3 linked regions of the Lonchura striata genome follow. The protein of the gene in region 1 interacts with the protein of each later gene in a pairwise test. Links are inferred from orthologs where the notes say so. Each region holds a gene or a part of one and is shown on either strand. Other genes may lie near its edges.

Region 1 (7,606 bases):
AAGTCCAGTTTTGAAGAATCAACACAAAAAACAAAGTACACAGACACAGGTGCACTTGGGGGAGAAAAAGGTACATACATGAATTTAGCTTTTTTTCTAATTCCCAGATTCTAAAGCTCAGCATAACCAACCTGTTTCGACAGCATATACAAAGAGACAGCATATCACAAACCCTCCTGGATAGCAGGCTTCAGCTTTCACAGTAGGTAAGCAAGTACCAATCCTGAAGAAACCCCACACAGCTCATGTGACCTGAGCCAGAAACACTCAATGGCTTTAAGTGACAGGTCCTGTGTGCAGACCAGCAACATCTCCCTGGGACAGCAGAAGCAAGTATCTTCAGGAGCACAGGGGAGTCTCACCTCCCACTTTGTCCTCCTAGGGAGGGGAACTTGTTCCCTCAAGGCACATGCAACAACCCAGTGAATCTTGCACAGGCCAAGCCTTGCCTGAAAGCTTCCTACCAAAAGCCATAGAACACTGGCCTGTGACTTTGACTCTTCTAGCCCACATAAATAACTACCTCCACTTTTATCTTTCAGTCTTCCCCACTGTATTGGAATGGCTGAAATTTGTACTCAAAACAGATGATACATAGGTATCGTACTATCACAAAAACAATATGCACTGCCAGTGGAATTCTCACACACGTATGTGTCTTAGTAAAAAAGATGAAGTAATTTTCTTAAATACAGCACATGATTTCAACATCCAATATATGTAAACATCTGACACCCCTAATCAGACTGACATCCATGGACTACAGTTTCTCTGGTTACAGATGGATGCCTCAACTCATAAACTTAGAGCAAGTATCATTCTGCACTTTCCTCTATCCCTCACAAACATGTCTTCAAAACTGCAGATGTTCTGCAAGAGCTAAGTGTTTCCCAAAGCCCATTTTAATTCTAAACACACAGGATACTAAAGAGACAATGCACAGCATTTGTTCAGCACAAAAAAACACCTGTTCTTTTTTTAAGAAGAGAGTTGTCTTTTCAAGCTCTGGGTTTTACAAGAATAAACAGATGACAGACAAATTTTCATTGATCACAGTTAAAAAACCCCAAAAACCAAAAAACACTAAAACAGATTAAAAAGAATGGCAAGATTGCTCAGTTATTGGATAAGAAAATTTCCCTAGGCTTCCTTCATGCAATAAAGCAAGAAAAATAAATTTCAAGGTTTAAGCAAATTTGTACTTTCATGTAAATATCAATTGAGGAAAAAACTGTTGATATTAATGACTAATTAAAAAATTATTCTGCATTTAGACGATGTGCCCACTTGCTTTCTATCGTTCCTGGTAACCACTGAGCTCAAACTCCTGAGCATTCACAATGACAAGAACAAAATGCCAGCCAGGTTAATCCTAAAACTGCAAATCTGCCAAATCAAAGTATGTTTATTACTCTGACTACATTTCCTAAACGTGCTCCCTGAATAGACAACAATTTGAGCTACCACTACTTCCAAACCAGAACATAACCATCAACCTTCAAATTGATGATTCTCTCTAATTATTCACTATTATTTCTATGAAATTCTAATTATTTCTATTTCTACTATTATTTCTAAAATCTGTGTGGTGAGGACTGCTTTATATACCAGTATCACTGTCATATTATGTACAACTTGGCACCTTCAAAGGGACCCAATTCTGCTTCCTTGGACAGATGTAAAGATTTTTATTCCATAAATTCACTTTTCCTGCAATTCTGGAAAAGAAAACATGGTTAAAACAGGCAGAATATACTATTTGTTTTAGCTGCTAAACAAAACAATTACTATTGTATGAGGGACATAGTCCTTTATGATGTAAACTTCTGTGAATGTAGCATTTACATGAAGTCTTTTATTAGCATGAAGAACAAACAAATGCAACAGTTATGACAACATGCATGTTTTAGTCTACATGACAGAAAGGCAGTTCAGAAATGTGGTATGTATTCTTAAAATGGGTGAAGAGCAACTGCTCTACAATGTGTTATTTTGGTACATGGATTATTATGCTATGAGTTAAAAAAATACCCTCACAAATTACCAAGTGATCTATCTTCCTTTCACTAGGTCAGACCATTCCTCAGTTACAGGAGGTATATTTAGAGTTTTATTTGACTCAGGAAACGACTGTCTCAGTGTTCCCTTGGATTTAAGATACTTCAGTATACTAAACAGCATATGGAAACTGACCAGTTATTCAATATTTGAAAACACACAGAAAGAGGAAAACACGGTGGAAGTACTACTGAAACAGCAAGAAGACTGGAAAAGCTGTAACTAAACTTCTCCCTGTGCTTTTCTTTAAGAAATCAAAATAGCAAAATTTACCAGCCTGAAAATGCCATAATGACACATCACCTTAGCGAAATGAAATAACTACACCATAGTGAATACTAGGAGATCCTAAATTCTTCACTTCTGAGGAAGAAACAAAACTTCATGACAATGGATGCCTAAAGCAAGGGGGTGGGGGGAATGAAACTGTTTCAAGTAACTTTTACCAACCTATAAAGACAGCCTCCTGTATTTACCCGCCTCCATCACACAGCCAAAAAACACTTGTGTTTGCGAGCACCCACGTCACGAGAGCCGCGACAGCCTGGGCGGCTCTACGTGCACCGGCGGCTCCGGGGACAGGGAGCGGCGGGAGCGGGCGGACGGCGCCGCAGCGGTGCTCAGAGCCGCACCGCCCCTCCCGGCGGGGCCGGGCACGGCCAGGGGGTCCCTCCGTTACCTTCCCAGAGGAAGTGGCCGCCCTCCCGCCGCAGGAACTTGTACCAGAAGGGGCTGGCGGCGTCCTCGTCCGGCAGCGCCACCTCGGCCAGCCACAGCGCGGGCTCCTGGGCGGGCAGCGGGGCGCTCGGCCGCGCCCGCCTCATGGGCACGGCGCGCCGCGGGTCCCACTCGCCCAGCTCCGGCCGCGACCCGGCCACCAGCAGCTCCGCGCCGCCCTCCGTCACCCGGCCGGGCAGCACCACGCCGAAGCGGAACAGCATCGTACACAAAGAACGGCGCTTAACCGGGAGCTCTGCTATTGCACAGCCGCCGCTGGCAGGCCGCCCGGGCCCGCCCTTCCGCCGGGGCTGGGGGTCGGACACCGGCCCGGAGACCGCCCCTGGCCCGGACGCTGCCCCGGCCACCGGCCCTGCCCTTGCGGAGCCCGAGAGGTGCCTCCTTCGGCCGGGGCTGCTCCCGCTTGTTTCGGGCGCTCGGCTGCCGCACGCACGCTGCCGGGGATCTTCCCCTCCGAAGGGGAGTTGAGCAACACCGAGCCTCAATCGCCTCCTAAAGTGGGGATGGAAAATCCCCTCCGCAGCTAAACACTGGCTCTCCTGGTTGCCAAAGGCTACGCGTCACGTATGGTGACTGTAACAAGGATTATTGCTGCGTTAAAGGAAGCCATTGCAATTACTGCCAAGAACTCAGGCTTAATTTAGCGCAGCAAAGACATCATTGAAAATTGCCGTACTTGCAGCTACGAACAAGGACTGGCTGCAAATAACGCTGTAGTGTTCATGATGTTTATGTCTTTCCCGCTGACAGCCAGCCAGTCATGGTGAGAAAATAAATGTGAAGTGCTGAGGGAGGTTAGAAAGCTTTTAAAGAAATCTGGAGTTCGCTGCACGAGTTCTGTTTACGGCCAGAAGGGGAAAATTTGGCAACTCCTACGCGTAGCAATACTAAGGACTTAAAAAGACTGAGGAAGAGGATGCAATCCAGCCATTTAATGGGCGGTCCCTGCTTGAATACACCCATTTCAGAAGCTTTTAAGGACAGAAAAAGAGAAATGGTAACTTTATTTAGGTCAGGTTCTGGGAACAGGATGAAGGCCTTTCAATGAGTCAAAAGAAATCCTGCCTCAAGAGATGGCTGTTTGTTTCCTTTATGCAGGGGTGATGACACTGAAGTGTATGTGCTGCCAAATTTATTTTTAAGAGTGCTTTAGCCAATTTTCACTGATACTCATTGAACTTGTGTAAGTGATATTCTACCACTTTTCCAGACATAACCAAAACAAATGAAATTCTCACTGTCCTCCATTTCTGCTGGCTTTACTGTAGCACTGCTGCTTTTGTGGAACAGTGCAGCACATTTTAATTTTTTTTTCTCAACCTTACAGTTGAGCTACCCATACCCTGTCTCATAATTTCAAATATCTAACTCTTTACCATACACCCCCATTTTAGCAGCACGAGACAGAATGTAAGAATTCTGGGGTTTTATCCTAAAGATCAAGCATGACAGGAGTCCTAAAACCACCTCAGCATATTGTGTCTACACAAAACCATATGCTTCTGTTCATTCCAGTCACAGCTTAAAAACTGCAGGATTCAATAGGGCATCTGATTGACAGTTTAGTTCCTGGCTGTTGTCTAAGCCCCAGTGTAAAGAGAGACCAGCAACATCCATCTTTGGACAAGACTGAACTGCTTTGTGCCTGTAAATATTGAGTCCTCATCTTAGACCTGTAAGCCTTGTGGAACAATAAAAAATTGTTCTGTAGACTCTGATGTGCCAAGTAGTATCTTTAAAATTAATTTAGTCAATTTCTTCTCCGGGATCTGCCTTAATCCATTTTGTGCCACTCAATATTGTGTGTTAAAGATGACAGAAAGTGGCCAGCTTGATTTCCTGACGTTTCCTCAAAAGCCCTAGTGCAGATAAGGGTTAGGTTGAGAGATCAACAGGAAGGGCTGAAAAACTGGATCTACTGATGGATCCTGCAAGACTGAGATAAAAACTAGAAATGTAGATTGGTTTGGGACATCCCATGGCTGGGTATAGTGGGAACAGAAGAGCAGTTTATATTGGTGAAATTGCAGGCTGAATGGGGGCTGTAGACAGGATAAAATTTATTAGCATTAGATCTGAGACTGAGGAGCTAAAGGTACTGTGAAGTTTGTTTTTGCAAATGTATGTTTTTTCCCCTGTTAGATTTGCATGGTCTATGATTTGTCATCTTCTAAACTGGAATTTCAGCTGGAGTAAAGGCAGAGGAGGTAGGGAGGAGTTCCACTTACTGTTAGTATTTGGGATTGAAGGAGTTGATGAAGTACTTCCACAGTTGAGCCACTGCCATAACCCTAAATTTAGTTTCAAGTGTCACCCTAAGCCTCTTAAGGAATTAACAATAGTTTCCTTTGCCAAAATGACCTGTTATTCTAGTACTGCCTGGCCAGTGCTCTTCCCCTAGTTCTTAACACTATTCTGAAACCTAAAAGCTTTCATGATAATCCAGTCATCTTTTACAACCACAAATTAAACATGACTATTTCCTTTTTTTTTTTTTTTTCCACTATAGTAAGTCTTCCTTCCAACTTGGCAAGCCTTACAATTCCCATCAAAAAGCTTTGGCACAAAGGGGCAAAACCCCAATAGTTAAGCTGTTTTTAATTGTCACAAAAACTACTGTCACTCATTGATTCCTGTGGGAACAAGCTACCATCTTAGGGGTCTGTTTGCATTGCAATCATAAATGCTGTGCATTTGTGCCTCTCACAGCTGTTTAGGATCTCTCAATATACTTACAGCAGCCACTTGCTGAATGGAAGCCCCGACTGACCTCAAATCAAACAGTGAGCTAGCAACACAGTGAGGCTTAATGCCAAGTTTATTTAAAAGCCTTCAGTTTATTGTTTCTGCTACCATCCGAGGCATTTGCTAAAGTTGTTTCTAACTGGCAAAAAGGGAAGAATTATATGAAAAAAAAAGGACAGCCTATTTTTACACAGCATTAGTGTGCAAGAAGGGACTTGAGAGATCAGTTTCTGCAAGAATGACTTGCTTTGTGGAGTTCACCTAAATTGTACCAATACATAGTAGCCTTGTGTAATTTCTAGCTAATTAGCTGGCTTATTATCCAAAATTTGTGCAGGTAGTGGGGATCACACAGGAGGACTCACCGAGGCTGTGTACCAACTTAACATCAACCAACCATCAGTTATGCCTTCAGGTTTCTGCCTAACGGCTGTATCTGAAAGGATTCTACGGAGAAGGCTGAATGTCCAGAAATGTGACTTCATTTGCAGACATGTAAAACACATTTAAAGGCATTTTCACTTGCTGTGCACTAAACATTTGCAGAATCACAGTTCTAACATTCTGCAGAAGTCAAATTTCTTATGGTGTCTCTTTCAGAAATAAAATTGTCATGATATTTTTGTGAACCCAAGAGTTTTAAACCATTTGTTACATCCCAAAAAAATTGTGCAAAGTATTGCTGGCCGAAATTTTAGTGAAGACAGTAGTTGAGAAGTTTGACAGCATACTCCAGTTCAAAATTCAGCTTTCCAAGTGGAAAGTCATATTTTTCTTCACAGTTTTCTTATCTGCAAAGTGTCTACTAGGTATAGAGACAGCACACAGTTATCTGATCAATGTGAATACTACTAAAATGACAGCTGAAGTTAATAGTTCCATGCTGGGGTAGCCTGTGTCTGCAGTATAAGTGTTCTTCTTTTAGCAATTCCAAACTTTTGCCCCATAGCCCAGTTGCAGCTTGGAACAGCTTTATCTGTTATTGCTGTACAGTGATCTAAGATGGTATTTCCAAGTAGGGAAATCTGTAGTGAAGAGAGAGAGCTTGAATAACAGAAACAAAACACAAATACAGAAATATTTGGTTGGAGAAGGGAGGGAGTATTCCTGATTGCAAGTTGTGGGTGATGTTTAGATTAGCAGTGCTCCTTCCTAGACTTGCCTTTCTTCCCTTTTTAGGTCATTTTCTTTCTTGTAAAGATACAGAGAAAGTGTTATTGCAATTCCCAAATGTTTCTGCTAATTATAGAAAAGAGAAAAGCAGCACATGGCACACAGTCTTGCTTGTAAAAAGGCAAACATTTATATTATGTGATAAGCTGATTTAGATGTATTAATGATTTGGGTAAAATATTCATTGCTGAAAAATTTAGACAGCCTGTATTTCTTCAAAGAGATTGTGCTAAATATAAAAGAAACCTTATTCTAGTGCAAATAATTTAAGACCACTGGTTTAAGTAAAAGTTAAGTATTCTAAACTACTCAATCGACAGACCCAGACCTTCTAATTGAATTCTAACTGTCCTTCTCTTATCAATTCTGATAGAACTATGAACTAATGCTCTCACCAATATTTCTAATTTGACAATACAGCAGCTAATAAATACCTTTATAGACTGAAGACTGAAAGAAGACTAAGATTAAAGAACTTGTTAACAGATAAGCACTGCTATCCATAATTTTTAGTTTAGAGCTGTGTCAGAGCACTGATAACTGCATGATCCATTTTAGCTGCTTATTGCTAGGAGCAAACTTTTATGCAGACTTAACTACAGAAGTTCTGTCAGGAATGACCATTTCAGGAATTGTGTTGGAAAAATTTTCTGCAACAATAGATAGGACACTAAAGGAGATGGTTTCCACTTTTGCATGGGGGTTTGTGTAGCATATTTTTTAAACAGGTTGTTGTTTTTAGAAGTAACTTGGCAGTATAAATATGCAATAACATTACAGTAAACACTACAGAAATACATACAGGAATAACTGATCTGGTAGGTTTCTTTTTTCAACATCCAGTTAAGCTGTCTGCATCCTCCCCAGCCTCATATGCCTTGGGAGCTGGAAA
Region 2 (7,030 bases), on another chromosome or scaffold:
AAATTTGCAACCATTAGTAATTTTCAAAGTTCACCAAAGGGCTCTGAGAAGCAAATAAATAATATAGCCTTCTATTAGGACTTAATAAAACTCTGCTTACAGAGTTTTTCATTAGATAAACCATTAAAAGTAATTATAAATTTTAAATGCTTACAGACTTGCTGTGTATCTGAAAAATCACTATTTGCCTTACAGTCACATTCATAGAAAACTGCAGCCCAACTTCATAGATAATACACATTTACAAAGATTAGTTTTATAGCGGAGAACAAACATTGAACAGAAGAGCTCAAGACAAGGAAAAAAAATGGCTGCTGTTTACCTTGTGTTACAGAATTGACCCTGTCTATTACCACAGATGTTCTTTAAAGCCATTAAAGCTCTGTCTCTTTCACAGGTGTTGTGTGATGCTGCAGGAACGAGCCAGCCAAAATAAGGTGGACATATTTTGTTTTCTAATGACACCAGTATAGTGCTGCTGGCCTAGCAATTGGTTTTAGTTTCAAGCCCAAAACCAAATCAAAAGGCTTTCCTGCTCAATTGCATACTGTAACTGCACTAAGCTAGCACTGCTCTCCCACCCAGCAAACAGTAAGGATTTCTCAAGAGATGCTTTACTATGCAAGTGAAATGGACGTATGTTCTTCTCTCTGGACTTTTTTACCTATAAATGTGGTCATGACTTTACTTTGCTCTGAGGAAATATTTGCCTATCTTCAAAAGCTTCAAAAACCTTTAATTAAATGATAATAGCTCCTCTACTCCTTCTATATCCTCCACTGCGATGTTTTTCCTTTCTTCCTTCCTGAAGTTGTGGGGGAGGATAGCAAAGAAGCACAGCGACCTGAAAGTAATATAGTCATAGTAAACACAAATTCCTTGCTTAATTACTCGGTCCCAGAACAGAGGCTGAAAAAAAAGCAGTTTTTTCATTCTCATAAAATGATAAGAGCCAGCAAAGAGATGACCAGAGCAGCCCATTGCAGTGTGATAGCTGACAGGAAGGCACAATCACTCATTATCTGTTCCCAGAACTGCTGATTGAAAGGTTGTGGTTAGTTCAGCTGAGGTGAAGAATGGCAAGATCTGGAGGACCATCTGCATATAAAAGCATTTGCTGTGGAGCTAATACCATATATTTGTCTTTGAACAGAGCAGCGTGAGCCCAGTTGCCAGTTTGTCACTGAGCAACCTCAATGAACTCCTTGCAAGCGAGCCTGTGCCTTCCACTGCATCTGGACCATCTAGGCTGCAAACTGCTTTAAAAACGTACATTTAAGATTTAGCGAAACTATGGTAGCTATAATAAATCTGTGTTTTCTATAGCTAACACGTTGCAATTAACTTACTAGGTCTAATGTGCCACTTTTTCAGGAAATGACAGAGAACTAGTCTGGGTGATCGACTTGGGTTTCCTTCTTACAGAAGCAGTTGGAGGTACAACCCCCTATGATGGGGCTTGATTTTATAATCAGCCGTGCTTTTTCCACTTACATATTTCTGCCACTGTGCACCTACCAATGTCAGAAAAGCTGATATGCCACAAAGTGCTGTCAAATGCCCAGTAAGACAGGAGATTTTTTTTCCTCTGGTGCTCCTATTTTAGCAGCACGATTTGAAAGGTAAGACAGACAGACAGATCTACATTTTAAGATGCCAAACCAAAGTATCTGGAAACCTGAGTCCTCTATAAAAAGCACAGCTAGGGAACCATCACTGACAGGACAGACTGGTGTGTTAACTCACATAACCCTGTCAGTTTGCCTCAATGCAGGGATGCCTCCCTAGATGAGGAAAGAGTTACCCTTGCTCTGCACAACACTCTCTGCTTGTATTGGCAACCAGGAACTGGGACACCAGACCACGGCCATGAATGTGCTCCAGAGTACCAATTAGGCACAAAGTTCCCGTATCCAGTCTGTATTTACTGACTTGGGCAATGATGTGCCTGTGAAAGGTCTGGATCTCACTACCATTTTTTTTCCTAATCATATCACTTTAAACAGTCTTTCAAGATGTTTTCCAAGTTAGGCAAAACAGGTATTTTACACAGCAGAAGCAAAATATTTTATAGCACCAACAGTGCAACGAGCTACTATATAGCAACAGAAATATGTGCAGGAAAGCCTTGAGGCAACTCCTTTTTTACAGGCCTCAAGCAGCTCTTATTTAGTGTCTGCAGATAGTGTGATAGAGCAGCCCCAGCTCTGCTGCACGTGATCTCTGCTAACACAGCAACCCAGCTAAGGAGTGTGTGTGGACAGAGATCCAAGTAGTACAGGCAAACAAACGCCAGAGTTATTTACTGATTTTTTTATGAGTAAATAGAAGAGATTTGGTAAGTGCCAGCCATGTGTCCAGTCTTTCCTTATACCCATGGGTATGTTTGACCTAGTTTACTCCAGGTGGGGGGGTTGAGGCTGAAAGTCTTTGTAGCTCCTCCAAAAGAAAAATAAACTTGCAACTAGTAAGGCTATTAGCAAGGCTTCCAAAACACAGATGCTGTTTTCTATCACTTTCTGTAGACAAAGAATGAGAAAATATCATCTGCCTTCGATAGGGAGCCAGCAGTCACCAAAAGATAAAAGAAGGGAAAGGAGAGGAAGAGCAATGTCAGTAGCAGGGATGCAGCTTGAGAAGTGGAGGACCAGGGAAGGCTGTCCTGAGTAACTGGCTCCAGGGAACAGAACAGGACCTTCCATAGCCCTGTCTGCACTGCCAGTTAATGCTTCAGGCTTTGTCTGGGTGACACTTACTGTCATATACTGTCACAAAAGGCAGGAACTTCAGTCACCAAAGGGCAGAACTAAGAAACTGCAGTGTTACTGGCTGGTGAATACTCTCATTACATGTACAGAGGCAGATACTGATCTATGTGCCATGCATCTGTCATCAGAAGGCTCTAACCTTTTCTGTTTGTGCCCTCTGCTTGTATGTAGCTTGAATCCAAGGTGAAAGTGTCCTTGTCATCATCTGGTATGCTCACACCCTATCTTCTAATAAATTCTCACGCATAAGCAGTAGAGCTTTTAATTTCTTTTGCTCACAGATCAAGAACAGAAAAATCCTTTACTGTTTGCTCATCACTGTAAGCCCCCTTTGCTTCATGTAGAACATAGGACTTCCTGCTGTTCACTTGTATGTTGTCTCATTTACTGGTAAAAACTGTGAACTCAGAAAATCACAGTTCATAGACTCCCTATCACATCTTGTTACGTTGCCTGCAAGCTATCTCCCACCCTTGGGAAAGAGCAGCTGAGCAGCAAGAAGATGGCAGTGGAACTGTTCATCTGCAGAAGACCCGGAGAAAAAGTTAGCATCCAGGACATGGTCTTTGAAGAGCAGTAACTCAGCAACAGACCTCTAGTAGGATTACTCAGCCTGCTGTGGCTAACGCTAACGCTGCGGGGGCTGCCTTCCACCACCTTCTGTCCCTTTCCTCTGGAAAAAGGCAGTAGATAAAATGTGGGGCCTATAGCAGGGCCTGTCATCCTCAGGCAGTGCACAGATCACCAGGTGTGCGAGGTGAAAAGCTGTCTGCACCATTTACATTAAAAGTTCAAAAGTACTTTTTCACTGAGGACAAATGCAGTTAGACTCCAGGATGATGGATTTCTGGCCCTGGGAACATTACCTTACAACTTAGTGTCCCGGCTTCTTTCCAACGAAGCAGAGAAGTCTATAATTTAACACAGGTTTTGTTCAGCTGGGCAAGTTCCCGAAGCAGCCGCACACGGGCACGCGAAAAGCCCTGGCAGAGAACGCCGCTCGCTCGCTGGCTGCCGGCACGGCCGCGTGCCCGAGCGAGTCCCCGTCGCACCCCGGTGCCCGCAGCTGCTGCCGCCCTTCCCGGAGCACGCGGGAGCGGGGCCCGCTCCGGGCGGGGGCACCGGGGCTGCGTCCGCCCGGCAGCCCCGGGGCACGCGGCGGCCCCGGCGGGAGCGGCCCCCCGCCCGGCCCCGGGGCCGCCCCTTGGCCGCGGGCCGCGGCCCGGCCCCATAAAGGCGGCGGCGCGGCGGGCGCGGCCCGGGAGCGGCGGCCCCAGCACTGCAGCGCACCAGGTAAGCGCCGCCCGGCCCCGCTGCCCGCCCGGGTCCCGCCGCCCGCCCGGGTCCCGCCGCCCGCCCGGGTCCCGCCGCGCTCCGCGGGTCCCGCCGCCCGCCCGGGTCCCGCCGCCCGCCCGGGTCCCGCCGCGCTCCGCGGGTCCCGCCGCGCTCCGCGGGTCCCGCCGCCCGCCCGGGTCCCGCCGCGTTCCGCTGCCCCCGCCGGCCGCTGCCCCCGCCGCTGCCGTCCCCGCCGCTGCCCCCGCCGGCAGCGCCCGGCGCCCCCTCCAGCAGCCCGCAGCTGCTCCGGGGGTGGGGTGGGGTTTGCATGCTGGGCGCTTGTTCGCTATTTCGGTGTTGCGTGGGCTTTTCTCCTTTTTTATTTTTTTTTTTTTTATTTTTTTTTATTTTTTTTTATTTTTTTCCCCTGACACTGCAAAAGCTCGGGTCACCAAAGTTGCAGAGAGAGTATTTCTGAAGCCTTAGTTCTATTCCTAATAAAGCAAAGCAAGGCAAAAGTTGATTAATTTGATTCGGGTACTCTCCTCCTACTGCTTATTATGGTAAATACTCCGCAAATTAAAAAAAAAAAAAAAAAAGGCAAAAAGAGGCCACTGGAGCTCCTGCTTTATTTTTGGCAGGGCTCTGGAATACCAGTGAGAACTCTGGGAAGCAGAAAGCCATTTATTTAAGTGACAAAGCAAATGCCTTTCCATGATTCAACAAAGCTCTGTGTTTCCTGCAAAGACTGCATCCATTTCAGCAGGGATGTGCCATGGTTGAAGCCCCTTTTTAGAAATATTCAAGCTATCTGGCATTGCATGGGCCATGGCCTTGCACAGTAATTTTGATATCCGTCATTGAGAGGGAGGGTTATTAGTAACTCTTTACAAAAAAACCTGTAGCATTCTTATTGAATCCTTGCAGTAGACTTTCAGTATGGTCTTTAGGGATTATAAAAAGTTGTTTTAAAGTCAATTTTTGAAGCCTAATGAGGTGAAAAAAATAGCATGCCCTTCTCTTCTCCCACTTTTTCCCCCTGCTTCACTCAGCAGTTGACATTACCAGTGCAAAGAGCCCTATGACTTAGACCTGGGTTCACAGCTCATAAAAATACTTATAAAGGTGCTTTAGTATTTTTATTCAACTAAACAATTGCCTAAAAAGATCAACTGACAGTTGTTCAGAGCCACAGAATGATGGTTCTGCATAAAGATATATAGAATCCCATCTGATGCTCTGATGGGATATAGAATCCCATCTGATGCTCTGATGGGATAGGCAACTTGCTTAATATAGTGCTGTCTGTGCTCAGAGATGAAGCAGCTGATCCAGCTTGTTGGAATTTTAAGACCTCACTCAGGGCCTCTAAGAGGGAAGTGGATGAGCACTTCTACTTTAACTGGATTCGTTTTACTCACTACTAGAATGCTCTTTTCTGTATCTTTAAGAAAATATGTTCAACTAGCTTTCACTAAAATCTGTTTTTCAGAGTTTTGGATAAAGAAAGGAGAGTAGATTTGAATTGAAGAAATTTAGGGTTGGTAAGAAATGACTGACTAGTTTCAGTGTGGTTCCTTAGGCAGAATTGTCAATTTTTATTTTAGCCTGCATTGTTTAAAACTGTGCAGAGATGAAGCCGTGAGTAATTAAGATAATGGATGAAGTAAATACACATTCTTGAGAAGCTTCTTATCTGATGTGATAAATGATGACATCCGGTGTTTCTTCTCCATTCAGAATGTTACAGGTCTTGGACCCGAGACCCTTGCCCAGCTCCAGCATGCCTGTGGATATGGCCATGCGAATTTGCATAGCCCATTCTCCGCCGCTGAAAAGCTTTCTCGGCCCCCTCGAGGACTGCCAGAGAAACAGCTTTGTGAGCAGACTCAAACCTCTCAGGCCGTGCCTTCATGTGAAATGCGACTCTGAAGATCGGAAGAGCGACTGGAACCACTCGCCAGCCCGAGCCAAGAAGCGCGTTGTGTTTGCAGACTCCAAGGGGCTGTCCCTGACAGTGATCCACACCTTCTCCGAGTTCCAGGAGCCCCCTGTGTGGGATCTGCCTTTTGACCTCTTAGGCATTGAGGACATAACATCTGACTTAAAACTCCATGAGGAGAAAACCTTAATTCTGGGTTTCCCTCAGCCCTCAACTGACTACCTGGACTTTAGGAACCGTCTGCAGACGAACCTGGTCTGCCTGGAGACCTGCACCCTGCAAGAGAAGGTCCTGTCAGGCACTGTGAAAGTAAAAAATATGAGCTTTGAAAAAAAGGTTCAGGTTCGTATTACTTTTGATACGTGGAAGACCTACAAAGATGTTGAGTGTGTGTACATGAACAATGTTTACAGTGATTTTGAAAATGATACCTTCTCATTTACCATTGATTTTCCTCCTGCCATTTCCTCTGAAGAGAAGATAGAGTTTTGTATTTCTTACCAAAGTGGAGAACATACCTTCTGGGACAATAATGAGGGTCAGAATTACAAAATTGTACATGCAGAGTGGAAGCCTAATGGTGTTCAGATACCATCTGCCAAGGCAGGCTATGTAGATCTTCAGACTTCAAGGAGAGGACAAGAGAGAGAACCTGACCAGATGGGCAGTCCAAGGTTGTCCAGTGGTCTCTTTCCCCAGTGGCAGAGCTTGGGTCAGATTGAAAGTTCATTACCATACTGGTGATCCATGCTACTGAGGAAAAATCCTTCCATTTGGCAACAGAACAGTGCTAGATTTCTGGTTCACATACTGCATGGGGAAACCACCTGGCAGGTTTTGTTTGCTGTCTGAAAAAATCCAAGTTCATTAGACTGTGGGACTTGTTGAACCATTTTACGCTTGTGAAATCCTTAGCCAAACTTTATCCTTGGAAGGAAAGAAAACCAAGGTGCAATTCATGTGTATGCTACATACTATAGGAGTAGCTTGCCTGTATCTCAAGTATATGCTGCTTTCTTCCTGCTGTCAGCTCTCCTGGGTAGAG
Region 3 (7,464 bases), on another chromosome or scaffold:
GTAGCTGCTGGCATTGCCATTTTTCTTTGGATTTGTACACACGTATGTTTTTAAGCCTTTGATGGGAGCAGCTGCACCATTGAACGCTGGGGTTTGCTTAGGGGGTCTGATGTTACCAACACTTTGGATTTTAGAGCTGCTCTCGGGGGGCTGCAGACTGAGAAGCTGCTGCTTTGCAGCTGGTTTCTTTTTCAGTTCACTCCTTCCATCACCAGTTTGCCTCTGAGAAGAGGCTGCACACCCCATCCTCTCAGGAACTTTCAGGTGACCTGTGTGGGAACGCACCTGGCGAGCCTGCTCAGGGCACAGCTCTGCCCTGTGACCCAAAGAGCTCCTGGGCAGCCTGGTCACACTGTCCTGGGGCACGGCCTGCCTGCTGGGCACAGGGCTGAGCAAGGCTTTGCCTTTCCCGGGGCTCTTGAGGGCACGGCTGGGGCCGGGGGCAGTCTGGGGCCGGGCTTTGGTGGCCCTGCCCCTCTCGCTCTGCACCGTCTGCAGCTGCAGCCACTCCAGCTGCAGCAGGCGCTCCATGAACTTCTCCAGGGATCCCGTGGGCCTGGGGCGGAAATCGCTTTTCCCTTCCACGTGGACAAAGGTGGCCAGCTGCTTCAAGTCCCAAGAATTGAAAGGGGGTGGGAGGAAGTCGGGGTAGTAATATTCAGATTCTTTAAATCCCATTTCGGGGATGTGCTCCAAACAAACTGGGTCGATTTCTTCAGCTCTGAGGATGAGTTCTGGTGGAGTGCAGGGAGAGGGGGGAATGGGAATCCTTTCTGAGTCAGAGAGGTCACTGGCACTATCATCTTCAGCATCTTCTTTAATAATTTGTACCGACTCAAAATCAAGAAACATTTGACTTACAGATGCTTCTTGCCATTTTGAAGAGCCTGGACTGGCTTCAGCCATGTATTCTTCGTGATTCCTCCCCAACTGTTCTTTTTTACTGCAATAAAAATGCTGCACTGAGACATCCTTAGCCCTACAGAAGTTTTCTTGTGTGCTGCCCTTTGTGCCAGCAGGGATCCTGTGCAGTAAGGATTCGTTTTGCCTTCTTTCTGGGGGACTCCTGTGCAGGAAGGATTGATTTTGCCTTCTTTCTGGGGGACTCCTGTGTAGGAGGGATTCGTTTTGCCTTCTTTCTGGAGGACTCCTCTTTGGTCCTTGTGCACTGTGCAGTGAGCTGCAAACACTCGGGATCCTAAAGGAAAAGGAAGTTAATGTACTGTTAGAATGGTCAGTGCCTTTGAACAGCAGCTTACAAAGGTCTTGCCACCCCTTCAAGGATGGAGATCTCTATGACTGAAGCTAAAACTGGCATGGAAACTTGGTAATGAGGCAAAATCAATAACTGCTGGTAGAGGTAAGACTGCCTACTACTGATCTGTTGTTGCCTGAGAACTCACTAAAGCAGTATAGCAAGTTTCCACTTTGATAACTTAAAATTTGTTGTTCTCATAAATGCTGAACTCTGAGCCCGTGAAGTCAAAAGCAAAACACAGCTGCTGCAGTTTCATCACAAGCATTTTGTCAACCAGTTTGAAATTACTACAAATTAAGCAGATAATCTTTCATAAAATTACCTTTTTGACTGATTATTGCCATCCAGCTGGTTCCTTCCCTTCTTATAAACATTTGGTTGGTAACCATCTTGAGTGTCATGGGAAATCTGGAGGGATATGAAAGTTTGAGATGTTATTAAGAAGCTGACTTATAGTAGTTACCCTTTGTATGTTAGGAAAGGGGATTATTTACCTTTTCAATGGCACTTGATACATTTTTGCCTAATCTTCCAGGAGGAGATTTCACATAAGAAATTGGTTTATATAGTCCTTTGGTGTTTGGATGGCTTTTTCCATTACTGTAACCACAAAGGATTAAACAAAATATCAGATATAAATAGCAGAATATATGAGTGTCAGAATGGAAGTACAATAAAAACTTAAGGAGTACAACTGAGTTGAAAAAAGTGCTGATTGTAGTCATTCTTAAAGTTCATTAGGACTATGCCACTATGGCCACTTTTTACTTTTTATACTACAAATGCACTGCTGTATTTTTAATATCATTAATACAAAAGTGAATAATTCTATCAGATGATATAATAATAGAATGTAGCCCTTATATAGAATCCTCTGTCAGAGGATCCTAAAGCTTCTTCGGACATAATAAATATTACAGATATTTAACTACTGATTTTTATAGCACCTGGTAGGTGCTCCAATTGCAATTTACCAAAATTAATTATAAAGTACAATATGAAGGTCACATATGAAGCCAAATCTTGCTTGTCTTTCCCATTTGCATATTCTCAACAAAACTTAAAGGATTATTCCTTTGAAGATAAGGAGTGGAAGTGAACAGGGAGCATAAGGTCTCTTCTGGTATTAATACAAACTATTTCACAATGAAGGCATAAAAAAATCCCTATTTCACAATATAAGAGGGTTGTGAAAATATTATTATGAGAAAAAGCTCATATGAAAGCAAGAGGAATGGCACTGCTGATCTGGGCAGCTTAGAACTAAAACTTAATTAAACCAGCTACATTTCTGTGTAAGCACACAGAATAAATAAATCAGCATATTCTGCAGAATAAGAACAGTGTTTTCTCTACAGAAAAAAAATATTACTGATTTCCAAATTGAAAGCTTTAAAATACTATTTCAGAACAGGAATATTCAAACTGTGCCTTCCTGTCTAATCTAGCATTACTGCAGTTCAGTTTATTTGCCAGCCTGTACATCTTGTTCTCAGTTTCTGTGTCAGTATAGTCAGATTTTGATTTTAACAACACATGACTTTACAAATTCAAAAGCTTATAAAAGAATGAAGCTAAGTCCTGTGCCTCTAGCATTGCTGCAGTCACCTCTGTGACCTTGTGACCTGCACGATCATCCTGCACAATCATTTCTGTCGCTGGGATCAGGGGAGAGGAAGGCAGTGGGAACAAGACAACCAGGCACTTATTAACTAAGCCCAGCGTGTTGACACTCCAGTAACTATAAAAAGCGAAATTAATTTCCTTACTTTACCATTCCTTTGTAGTTTTCATTGGTGTGGTTGTGGCTTTCCTTCTGCTGTGTCTCTCTGTGCAGTAATAAGGGATATTCCTGAATGCCTGGTCCCATTATTCCTCTTTCCTAAGGGAATCTGCACTTCTACTGTTACATAATCTTCAAACGGCTCCAGTCTTTTGGCTTTGCAAGACACGATATATCCAATGCAGACATCGCCACGTCCTGGAGATGCTGGTGACAAACAAAATCCTCCCGATGTGATTCTATTTTTAAAGCAGGAAGATAAACATAATCAGCTACCAAACTGCACTGGAAAACAGTCCCCTCCCCCAGCACTCGCTTAGAGGGAAGCAGCATCTTCAATTTACTATTCCCAATTAAGGAAATACCTGAGGGTACCGTGTGCTCGCAGAGCTGCCGTGCAGGGTCAGGCGCTCATCCCCATCCCCGGCTCGGCCTGCGCACATCCCGGCGCTGCCCGGGGCTGGGCGTCACAGCCCAGCGGGGCGGGTGTTCCTGCTCCCAGTTTATGGAGAGCAGATCATCACCCCCCTGCGGGCTCAGCTGTCCTTTTTGTGTCGCAAAATGCGCTCTTCCCATATGCATACATGCAAATCTTGCATCCAAGACTTAATTTTTTTTTTTCCTTTTCCAAAACAAGTGTCTCATCAGCTCCTACTAAAAATACTCAGAGCAGGATCCATTGCTTGCTTTTATTCCAGAGGAAATGCATTCCCGTACCAGGGAACCGCACGGTTCCAAGGGTCCACAATGGACTGTAAATGTGAGAGGTGACAAACAGCTCTCCTGACCCACCTTTACTTCTACTGCAGTGCTGTTTATACATTTACAGTCACATTACACTTGATCCCGTCCTATCCCTCAAACGCCTCCCCGCATCCTGTCAGCGGAGCCGAGCCCCGGAGCCCCGGAGCGCCGCAGTCCCGCAGCCGGACGGGGCAGGGCAGCGCCCGGGATGGTGGCAGGCTGTATCCTCGGCTACGGCAGGCAGTGCCCGCGGTGGATGGCAGCAGTGCCACACTGTGCCCGCAGCGATGGCAGCAGTGCCCGCAGCGCCCGCCGAGCCGGGCCGGGCCCTCTCCGCTCCCTCCCGCCGCTGTCACCGCGCTCCCAAGGGCCGCTCCTTCGCTCGGGGGCCGCCCCGCATTCCCCGGCGATCCTCGCCCCGGCCCGGTACCTGCCCGTGCTCCGGCTCCGCGGCCCGCAGCAGCCGTAGCACCGCCCGAGCGCCGAGCGCGGGGGCCGTGCCGGGCGGGGCTGGGGCAGGGCCCCGCGCTTGCGCCGCGGGCGCGGAGCGGAGCGGCCGCGGTGTCGGCCGGGCCCCGGGGCCGCGGCTGCGCTCGGGCTGCCGCGGGGCCGCGCCGCCCATGGGCGCTGTGGCGGCCCCGAGCGCGGATCCGGCCCCCGCCAGCCACGACACCGAGCCCGGCGCCGCGGCCGACAGCCCGAGCCCGCCTTCCAGCCTCTGCAGCAGCCCCGGCTCCCTCCCGCCCGACAGCCTCCAAGGCTTCCCCGGCCTCGACTCGCCCAGCATCCAGTGTGACAGCCTGGAGTGTCCCCCCTGCTCGTGCTGCTGCTGCCGCCGGGGCGCGGGCTCGGCCGCAGCCAGCGAGGACAGCCTGCAGGCCCCTCTCGCCCGGGGCTCCGGCGCACGGTGCTTGGGCGCGCACAGCGCTTCCAGCGACTTCTCCGACAGCCTGGAGTCCTTCATCCAGCACGACAGCCTCCAGTCGCTCCCCAGCCTGGGTGTGAGCTCCTCCAGTATCAGCGGTGATAGCCTTGAATCGCTTTCCAGCCTGAGCCTGGGTGCCACCAGCCAGCACAGCGATCTCGAGTTCATCGGGCAGTGAGTCTGCCTTCAGCTTCCCACACAGCGCCTTACAGCTCTGCCAGCTGCCGTGCGAGCTGCCACGCTTCTGCCTTTCCTTCGAAGGTGACATTGCTCCAGGTGATCCTTGCTGCATCCAGTGCAGTAACCTCAGACCTTACTGTGGCTGCCGTTCCCAAATCAAGTGCTTCAGAGGGTCAGTGTTCATTGTTACCTGCAGTGTTAATGCTGATTTTCTGTCACCAGTTAAGAATGGAAGTGCGTGGTCCTCAGAGGAATCCCAGCTACCTCTCAGATCTCTATGAGAACATGTTAAGGGCTGAAGGAACAGTGGCACGAAGGCAGCAGCAGCCCCCAGCAGTCCATACAGGTAGCAGCAAGACATTTTGGAGCAGTGCCCCAGCCAAGGAGAGCGTCCAGCCAAATAATCATGCGAGCAGCACCTACTCCAGCTGTGACCCAGCCCTGCGGCCCATCATGTGTCGCCGAGCGAGGTCCCTGCCGACATCACTCGAGAGGAGGAAGAGAGAAGCAGTGCAGTGTCAGGCCGGCTGCCGGGGCCGCATGAACCGGGTCAGATTTGCTGATGCTCTGGGCTTGGAGCTCACTGAAGTAAAAGTCTTCCAAACTGAGGAGGATCCATCCATCCCTTTGCATGTCCTTTCCAGGCTCTCCATAAACTCAGACCTCTGGTACAGCAGCTTGAACTTGGAGTTTACTATGCAATGCTTGGTCCCTGACTTCCAGCAGCCTGCAGATTGTCCGGATTTCTCATCCCGACTCCAGGAGCAGCAGGTGTGTCTGGAACGGGTGACCAGCTCATATCTGGGTCTCAGTGGCACCATCCATGTTCAGAATGTTGCTTTTGAGAAGCAGGTGTCCGTGCGCTACACCTTCAACCAGTGGGAAAGCATCCACGAGGTGTGTGCTCGTTGGAATTGCAGCATCCCAGACAAAAACAGGCAGGATCAGGTTGATGTGTTCACTTTCTTTCTTCCTGTGCCTCCTTTCCTCCTTCAGCTGAGCACTCTCGTCCAGTTTGCAGCAAGGTACCAAGTCAACGGCCAGGAGTACTGGGATAACAACAGAGGCAAGAACTACACCCTCTGCTGCCGGATTCACCCCCTGAAGCTGCCAAGGGAGTGTGAGGAGAGCTGGATCCACTTCATCTGAACAGAGGCAGTGGCGCTGAGCAGCGTGCCTGTGGTCCCACTGGCACTCTGTCCCTTGCCATGGCGCTCTGCTCCTGTGGCAACAGTCTTCTTTTTGAAACCTGGCCAGGTGTCCCAGGGCTGGGAGGCAGCCAGTGGCCTGTACAAACTGCACTAAACCTCTGGGAAAGTTAAAAGGGCCAGAATCTGTAGTGAGATACCATCATAGAAAAGCCATGTGGGTTTTTTGAGTGCATGAGTCATTGCAGAATGGTTCCCAGGAATGCTGTGAGGCTACCAGAGAGCAAAACATTTCTTGTTGCTAGTGATACTCTTGGTTGCATAGAATGTTTCTAACTGATCTCTCTTACCATTTTCTACTGTTTGTTTTCTTATGTGGACAGTGTGGCTTCACTTGTTTTGTTTCTAATTTTGTTTATATTACTTCACCAAGTCAGGGCACTATTCCATTTATGCATAATTTGGATGACAGACACTGTGGGGAGTACTTGTATTTATATACATATGTTATTAAGGCTGTAACCATGTTAAATATTTCCATTAATATCTGAGCTGGAAATTTAATCCTACTATGAGGAAAACATACATGAAAATGTGCCATCAGCACCTCTGCTTCCCTTGGGAAAGAAAACAAAAGGTGCCTTTTCCAATCTCCTCCTTGCAGCAAGAGTGATTGTTACCAAAGTGTGTGTAAGGCACTGCTTGGGGAAATTCTCACCTTTGTCAAGTGATGCCCAAGTAGGTTTTTCTCAAGGTGGTGGTACAGGAATAGTCTTTCTGGTGCACCTGCTTTTAGTAAGGGAAATGAGACCAATATTGGACGTGTGGTTGTAAATGCAGTTGAAGGTCTCAACGCACTGGATGAATGCTCATGATTTTATCACTGTTGCTGGTAAAATTATAGATCAAGAAATGGATAGGATATAAAAAAAATATGTAAGGAAAAGAAATAGTAGAGGGAGCAGGGTACAGAAGTTTGGAATAGCATTCCAGAACCCTGCATCACAGTTGGTCCCAGTGTTCCAGAACTACTGCAGAAGTAGCTTTGACTTCTTTATTTAACTGCTTGCCATTGCAAAACAGTTGACCTCCTAAGACTGCAACCTTGCAACACAAGCAGGAACTTGAAAGCACTTAATTACACAGACTGATAAACAGAATCCCTTCTGCTGCAGGGAGAGCACAGGAACACAGGACCATCTTCCCGTGCTTCTTGCTTTATTATTTTCGTTCTGTGGTTTTAGTGTGTTTTAAGATTTGCAACAGGCTTAAATTTATGAAGTAAAGGCTTGTCCATAATTGTTCCCATACATAATCATTACTGCATGGAAAGTTTAGCTTTATATGTGTTACGTAGACTTTTAGAGCTGGCTGGATGGACATATTAGAAGAGCTGTGTTTTAGGACTATGCTTGAATATCAGGCC

What was found.
Region 2: the proteins of EPM2A (region 1) and PPP1R3C interact in binary tests that used the Homo sapiens proteins (3 or more experiments, as listed by UniProt). The link is inferred for Lonchura striata from reciprocal best matches to the Homo sapiens genes EPM2A and PPP1R3C.
Region 3: the proteins of EPM2A (region 1) and PPP1R3D interact in a two-hybrid assay, tested with the Homo sapiens proteins (2 studies listed by BioGRID, with this or other methods). The link is inferred for Lonchura striata from reciprocal best matches to the Homo sapiens genes EPM2A and PPP1R3D.

The regions. Positions count from the first base shown.
Region 1 is NC_134605.1:49,438,665-49,446,270, reverse strand, and holds the start of EPM2A (laforin), read right to left. Parts: upstream 3,061-7,606; 5' UTR 3,000-3,060; coding exon 2,738-2,999; intron 2,655-2,737; exon of another isoform or gene 2,509-2,654; intron 1-2,508. UniProt on the Homo sapiens protein: Plays an important role in preventing glycogen hyperphosphorylation and the formation of insoluble aggregates, via its activity as glycogen phosphatase, and by promoting the ubiquitination of proteins involved in glycogen metabolism via its interaction with the E3 ubiquitin ligase NHLRC1/malin.
Region 2 is NC_134609.1:16,471,266-16,478,295, reverse strand, and holds PPP1R3C (protein phosphatase 1 regulatory subunit 3C), read left to right. Parts: upstream 1-3,987; 5' UTR 3,988-4,061; intron 4,062-5,783; 5' UTR 5,784-5,784; coding exon 5,785-6,729; 3' UTR 6,730-6,836; downstream 6,837-7,030.
Region 3 is NC_134619.1:4,031,467-4,038,930, reverse strand, and holds the start of PPP1R3D (protein phosphatase 1 regulatory subunit 3D), read left to right. Parts: upstream 1-4,430; 5' UTR 4,431-5,091; coding exon 5,092-6,039; 3' UTR 6,040-7,464. Other genes in the region: protein FAM217B, read right to left, coding at 1-1,198, 1,581-1,666, 1,753-1,858, 3,028-3,128. UniProt on the Homo sapiens protein: Seems to act as a glycogen-targeting subunit for PP1. PP1 is essential for cell division, and participates in the regulation of glycogen metabolism, muscle contractility and protein synthesis.